Linked DNA regions of Sus scrofa. The protein of the gene in region 1 interacts with the protein of each later gene in a pairwise test. Links are inferred from orthologs where the notes say so. Each region holds a gene or a part of one and is shown on either strand. Other genes may lie near its edges. The genes, in order: GAD1 and HAAO.

Region 1 (4,359 bases):
TGTAGCCTGAGAATTTAAGAGAAGGCCTCCTACCGGGAAGCCAAGGGCAGCACCTAGGGGTTGGACAGAGTGCTTACCCAGTAACACCCCCCTCCCCTTCGTTGATGGGAACAATTGACATTTTCTCAAGCTTATAGGAAGTGCCATAAAAGCAAAGCAATAAGCCCTCCTTCTAACCACACAGCCATCCCTAAAGGTCTTTTTATATAGAAATTCTGGGGCCATTACTGTCCGGAGCCATATATATGGAGGAGCGCATTTCATTCAAATTGGAAAAAGGAAAACAACGCCCCCATCTCCGCGCCTCTACGAAGAGGTAGGAAATCAATCTGAACTAAAGATATCCTGGATACGGGTTGAGGAGCTGCACAGAGCTAAGGGTGGGGAAGCAAAAATCTCCCCACCCCTTTTTAATCAGGTTCTCCTTTTCTTCTCTCTTCTGGACATGTCAATTGTTGACAAGTCTTCTGCCCCAGAGCAAAGAAAGCATTGCTCTCTCCTCCTGCCCTGGCAAACCTTCTGATCTCCTCCTGGTCCCCTACTTCTTGCCACTCAGGATGCTGCCCGCTCCTTTTCTGTGTGTGTCTCTGAAATGTAATTAATTGTCTAAAATGTCGAGGCTTAATCTCAAACCATTTTATGCTCCTTTCTCGCCCCTGGCTTTTCCCTCACCAGTCAATAGCTCGACGCAAATTTGGAGCAATTAGGGACCCCGAGTTTTCTAAAAGCTGCAATTAACGTCGAAATTTCCGCTGATTATAGACTTCGAGCACAACGCAGGGGAGAGAGGAGGAGGAGGGAGGCATCAACGAAAGCTGGCGACAGAAAACTCTGTATTCCCATTGAGCCTCCCTGCTCCTCACACCACCCCAGTGCACCGACCCTCGTCGTCTCACCTAGCAAAGAAACCACACACTAAACAAAAACACTCTCTATTCCCGTTGAGCCTCCTGGCTTCTCACACCACCCGAGTGCACTGACCCTCGTCGTCTCGCCTAGCAAAGAAATCACACACTACACAACAAAACAACACTCTCCGCGCGTCCTTCTCCTCGCAGCGGAGCCTCATGGATCACCGCCGCTTGAACCCTGCGTGGTTCCCCATTCTCTTAGCACCCTGGAACTGACTAGCATTCCTGACAGTCTAACGACGACGGCCGGTGGGGACCTGGCTCAGGGCCCCATTTCTTTTCAGCCTCCATCATCTCCGCGCTCTCCCTTCCTTTCCGCCGGCGCAGCCTCCTCACGTCCCAGCGCCCCCATCTTCCCCGCAGTCCATTTCATAGGAAACTGGGGCAGGACCTACTTGTGGGGCGCAGGTTGGTAGTATTGGGGTCCGGTCCCGCGTTCGAGGAGGTTGCGGACGAAGAAGGGGTCGAAGACGCCATCAGCTCGGTCGTCCCAGGGCCTCTGCTGTCCGGGGTCCTCGGCCGGTCGGGTGCAGGAGCAGGCTGCAAAGAGAAGCGAAAGCTGTGCGGGGAGGGCTTCCGGGGTCCGGTGAGCGGGAGGCGACTGAGCCGTGGGAGGCGCGGACGCTCCTGCTGAAGTCCAGGCTGAGGAGAAAGAGGCGACAGGAAGGGCAGCTACCCCTGTGGCTAGGTCAGGGTGCGCTGGGCTGGGGACGGGGAGGGGAGGAGTGCGCGCTAGCTCGGACACACTAGGGCGCGGACAACGTAGCCCCGGGCGGCTCTCCAGTCTGGCTGCGCGGCTGGGCGACCTGGAGGGGAACCCAAGGCCAGTGCGGGTCTCGGGGGCGGGGGTGGTGGTGGTGGTGCGGGGGACTCGGCTAGGAGGGCTAGGAAGGCTCAGAGCGCGATTTTCCAGCCTAGCCACGACAAGCCTTATTGGGCTTTCAGCAGCACGCGGAGAGAAGGCGGGGAGGTTGGGGGGTGGGGATGGCGCACGGGGCGGGCACGTCTGGTTCGGTGTCTGGTTCCCGTTGTTGTGTCTGGCTAATTCCCTGGAAAGAAGGAGGCTAACTGCTGCGGGGACCGGGGACTTTGGTGAGACAAGGTGAGAGGAAAAAAGGGTCCGTATCTTTACGTTCTCCCTCGGACTTGGCCAGGTAAGAAATACAGTCACCTTGTAGTCCAGACAGCCAGAAAGCAGCGAGTAGGAACCTTGCTTGTCTCCCTCTTGCCCCCCTCTTGCCTCACCCTGCTTTGAGCCATCTCGAAGCCAAGAACAGGGTCGGTTTGGCTTTCTGTATTTCTCCTCCACCCAAGTCTCTGAGGTCCCCGGATTTCTCGCTCTACAGACCCGGAGAGGGTGAGGGAGGCAAGAAAGGAGAACGTCACTGGGGAAACGAACTTGCGCCCAGAGCGCTGGAGGCGGTAGACAGGGATCTGTGCGCGACGCCTCTGCTCTGCGCTCCACGCTGGCGCGATGGCTGCCAAAGGCCAGGGGACAGAGTGCGAGTGAATATGGGTAGATCTAAGAGCTTCAGAGTAGCGCCTGCTGGCCACCGCTTCCACACCCTCCAAAGGACCCCACATCTAACGCAACGCGCGCACTCGCACTGCAACCCGGGCAGCGGGTAGACCGCGGCATCTGGGGAAGTAACAGGTTACCGCTCGGAGTCGCGCCTTCCGCTGCTGCTGGCCTGGAGCCCATTGGTGAGACCGGCGCTCGCAGCCGGGAAGCAGAGGGGAAAATCGCTCTCGCTCCACTTCTGTGCGAGCCTCAGCCTCTGTGCGTCCCCGGGGCATGAATCTCGCTGGTGGGGACAGGATGATTGCGAAGGCTGGGGTCTCTGGGCTGCGCAAGAACAGAGAGCCGGGACTGGGGCAGGCAGGATGCACTCTGCTCGGGAGGGCAGATGGCAGACACTGGAGGTGGGGGCTGGTCAAGAAACCGTGCGCGGGTGAAGAGGACCCAGCTGAACAGTCGGGCTAGTCACTGGGAAGATTCGGCGGCCGCGCGCTTACCCACCTAGGCTGGGCGACAGCAAGCCGGGCGCTCCGGTCGCTCTTCGGCGTAGCGCCCAGCAATCTGCCTGGCTTGGGCCCGGCCCTGCCACAGGCGTAGTCTGCCCGGCGTCACCTCCAGCTGCCGCCTCTCTCCTGGTAGCACCGTCCCGCACGCGAGCGCCAGTAAGAGAAGAGAGCGATCCGGAGAGGCGGCTGCTGGGCTTCAGGGGAGGCGGGGGCGGAGTGGGGAGGCGGGGGCCGGCTCGGCGGGGGAATCACGAGGCCGCTGCTCGCGGGGGCAGCTCGTCGGCAGAGCGGCGGGGCTCCTTGCAGGTGCCTGCTGCCTCTGGAGCTTTAGAGGGCGATTATAAATCCAAATCACGGGTTTGCGCCGGAAAAAAAAAAGAAAAGAAAAGAAAAGAAAAAGCCTTATGAGTAATCCAGAACGTACTCAACACGCTCTGTTTTTTGAAATAGGCAGAGTATCGGGTAAAGAGACGGAAAAGATAATTCTGCCTCGCTGAGCGCTCCTCCCTCCTTTTGCTCTTCTCCACTCCCATATCTTGGAGAAGAAAAGAGCAGTTGCTTTGCCTCAATTTCTTCCCCTGAGGTTTCCCCAGCTCTGCGACCCCACGATGCCTCCCTGAACGAAAGAGCGCTCTGGGTCGTGTCTTTGCTGGCTCACTTACGGAGCCAGGATTGTTGTAAAAGCGAAGGAGGCAGGGATGAGGGGGGAACACTCAGACCCTAAAGGACTCTACGTTTCCTTTTCACTTCAGTTTCCTCATCTAGGTTAGAGCCTTTCGAAATACTTGACTTGAGCACAGCTACCCAGTGCCACTGGCAGAGAAAAGGGTCCTGTTTCCAACCCACTAGGCACGCCCTCCTAGCTTTGGTTCCCTTGGTGATGGGGAAAGGAGTCCTCCTGATTGATCACATCTGAAGGTTAATAACACGCACGAGCGCAGCTCCACACACAAGGGGAACCCAAGCAGAGAGGTGGCCCGGGGGCGGGGATAGGGGAAGCGGACCGGCCCTCTCTGCTCAGGCCCAATTCTCTCCACTCCCCCTTTCGATTTTTAAGGATTCTCCTTTTGCAATATTTAAACATATTTAAGAACTACCGCTTTCGGAAAGCCCCTCACTGTAAAAAGGCTTTCACGGAACATTTTCCACCAGATGGCGCCAGGAGGCCAGAGACCGAGAGCCCTATGCTAGCCGGGTCTTTTCTCCTGTGCCACAGTCAACACCTGGAGGGGCTAGCCTGGCTGTTAGTCTCCGGCCTTTTCAAGCTATCCATCCTCTCGTCTCTAATTTATCTTCTCCTCTTTGCTCTACCTCAGTTTCTTCTTCTTTAGGGCCAAAGTCGATTTTTGTGTCTGGATGACACCGTGTAACCAGTGATTCCTTTACTCATTTTCACAGTAAAAAAAAATTTTTTTTCCTTTCG
Region 2 (2,696 bases), on another chromosome or scaffold:
GGAGTCTGGCCTAAAGAGGGAGATGGGAGGGGAGGAGGGAGGAGGGAGAGGGAGGCTGAGCGGCTCTGACCTGCACCAGCCCAGAAGCCCACAGCTGCTATGCAGGCCACGCTTCCACAGGCCCAGAGCCTGTGGGACTCAGTAGATATTTCTGGAGTAAACGGAAGCAGGGAGGAGGAGGGGTGTGAAAAAGAGGCAGGCAGGGCCATGGGGTGGGAGGGACTTGCTGGGTGGGTCCGCCAGCTCTCACAGCCCTGCGTAAGCTCTGGGGTGTGAGGGCCTCTTGGGGCTGGTCTGCATCCCGTGAGCACGCCTCCGTTGGGGCCTCTAACTCAAACTGCAAACTGCAGGTGAACTGAGCCCTGAGCGAGTCTCCTCATCACCACATTGGCCCTGGCCCTCCTAATCCAGTCCTCACATGGGCTACAGTGAGGCACCACTCTAGCCTGGTCACTTGGGTGAAGCACTCCTGTCTTAAGGATAAGCCCTTGCACCTCATCCAGCCCAGGAGAGCTGCCAGCCCCTGGGCACTGTCTGCTACTGTGGCCATCTAGCCATTGCCCTCACTGCCTCATTGCCCCTGTTCTGGTTTCCCAACCTCAGCTATTTGTATTGTCAGTCTGTTTCAAGCCTGTGGGCCTTTGCTCAGGCTTTTCCTTCACCTAAAATGCTTTCTCTCTCTTTCTTCCCTTTGCAAACTCCTACAAGAGCTTTAAAACTCAGCTCATACATCGCCTCTTCCAGGAAGCCTTCCCTGACTTTCCTCACAGCTGGGTTCCTCTATCCTCCAGTGGCTTCCTGTAGTTTCTCTACCAAAGAACGTTATCACATGATTGTGGCAGCTGCTGATTAACTTGTCCATTTACCACACTGTACATTCTGAGGCAGTGACTCTACCGTATTTTGCTACCAAAGCCTGTAACATAATAGGCACTCACTAACTGTGGAATGAAAGGAGGCCAGCTTGTTTTGGGTCTCTGTGTGATTTTCCACCCAACCCTCACCCCCAAATATCTCTTTCTAAGGCTATGATTAGCCAAAGGCCCAAGAAGTCCTGGCAGGGGGGTGACTCCTAACCCCCAGGAACCTATCTGTGGATGGGGCAACCCCCACTCTGAAGGCAAAGAAAGATCGCTGGGGGCCAGGTAGCCTCCAGGGGCTTCCACTCACAGCAAAGCCATTCATTCTCTGAATCAGGGAGGAAATAGGAAGGCCTGTTCTTGTGTCTACAATCTCCAAAACTGGCGTGTGCGTGTGCGTGCGTGTGTCTCCATGTGATTAGTTCCTGTGTGGCCCAGGGCTGCATTACCTGGGTCTCATAGGTGTCCCCAAACAGGCTGAGTGGTGTGCCCGCCTGCAGTTCCTTGCGGTGGCCAGCCAGCCAGGCCTCCAGGGACATGGGCTCCATGACGGACCGTGTGCTCAGGGGGAATGGCGGTTCCTTGAGCAGCTGGTCTGCACCCACAGCACAGCTGCCGTCAGTGTCCTCTGGCCCCGACCCCCAACCCCAGGGGGCCCAGTTCCCAGGGGTCCCAGCTCCCGATTGTGGGAATGGGCTCTGGGACGGAGCAGCCATGTGGGGGCACTATTTGGTGCCATCTTCTTGTGCCTTGAGTACTGGACAGAGGACTTCAAAGGAGACTCCTCGGTACCCTGGGCCAAGACCCACCCTTCTCTGGAAAAGAGGGAGGGAGAGGGAGGGTGGTTCCAGTGGCCTCACCAGGGTTGGGCTTTCCTGTTCTGTGCTGCTCAGAGCTGAAGAACCTACAGGGACAAATGGGGAGGAGGAGAGGCTAGTGAGGCACAAAGGAACACACACACACACACACACACACACTCATATATTCTAGCCCATAACACACCCACGGGGTCCTCACAGGATTGGCTGTATATCTGCCAGCCCTTCCTTCCAGGCTTCCACCCCCCCCCCCCCCCCCAGAGTGGTAGACTTTCTCCCTTAATCCTGGGTGTGATGGCTTCGGGCTGGCAGCTGCTGCCTTGAAGCACTGCTGAGCTGGGTCTGCTCTCTGGGTCAGAGTGTGGCGCCTCAGGAAAGCAAGGGGTAGGGCTGGGCTGGGGGCTCACTCTTGGATGATGGGGGCCAACTGTGTGCCGAGGTCCTCGCAGTAGAACCACTTCTCAAACAGGACATCCGTAGTGTCCCCGATGTAGTACCTGCCAGAACAAAGGACGAGCACCCAGCTCCCCATCTGGGCAGACTCAGGGCAGCCTCCCTCAGGCCTGGATGTGCTTGTGGATGTCAGGGCCCCTGCTGGCCCTGCACAGCTGACCCTTAGCGCAACCTAGTGGCCACTGCGTGCTTACCCACACCTGGCTCTCCCTGTGCCGCCCGATCGTGGGAGGGCAACCGACCCCATGCTTCCTGGTTCCCAAAGCTTGTAGCTAGAGCTCTGAGGCTCAGAAATAAGCTGGGCAGCTTGGCAGGGGTTACACAGCCTGTAAGTGGCAGAAGCAGGACAGACCCGAGACAGTCTTAGAAGCATAGAGAGCATCAGTGACAAGTGTTTTTCCAAAAGAAGCAGCTGAGGCTAAGCCTGATCCAGATATGCAGCTGCACCTCCTCCTGCCTGCAGGCACTCCAGGCACACGGGACCAGAAGGAACCAACATGCAGAAGATAACAGAAGATACCCCCCACCCCCCAGATGAGGGAGTCCGTCTCCTTTTGGAATCATG

What was found.
Region 2: the proteins of GAD1 (region 1) and HAAO interact in a two-hybrid assay, tested with the Homo sapiens proteins (4 studies listed by BioGRID and IntAct). The two-hybrid records come from large-scale screens. The link is inferred for Sus scrofa from reciprocal best matches to the Homo sapiens genes GAD1 and HAAO.

What each region holds. Positions count from the first base shown.
Region 1 is NC_010457.5:76,990,599-76,994,957, reverse strand, and holds the start of GAD1 (glutamate decarboxylase 1), read right to left. Parts: upstream 3,096-4,359; 5' UTR 2,932-3,095; intron 2,758-2,931; exon of another isoform or gene 2,709-2,757; coding exon of another isoform or gene 2,571-2,708; intron 2,311-2,570; exon of another isoform or gene 2,172-2,310; coding exon of another isoform or gene 2,157-2,171; intron 1,452-2,156; coding exon of another isoform or gene 1,389-1,451; coding exon 1,307-1,388; intron 1-1,306.
Region 2 is NC_010445.4:97,590,624-97,593,319, reverse strand, and holds part of HAAO (3-hydroxyanthranilate 3,4-dioxygenase), read right to left. Parts: intron 2,176-2,696; coding exon 2,086-2,175; intron 1,765-2,085; coding exon 1,721-1,764; intron 1,456-1,720; coding exon 1,310-1,455; intron 1-1,309. UniProt on the Homo sapiens protein: Catalyzes the oxidative ring opening of 3-hydroxyanthranilate to 2-amino-3-carboxymuconate semialdehyde, which spontaneously cyclizes to quinolinate.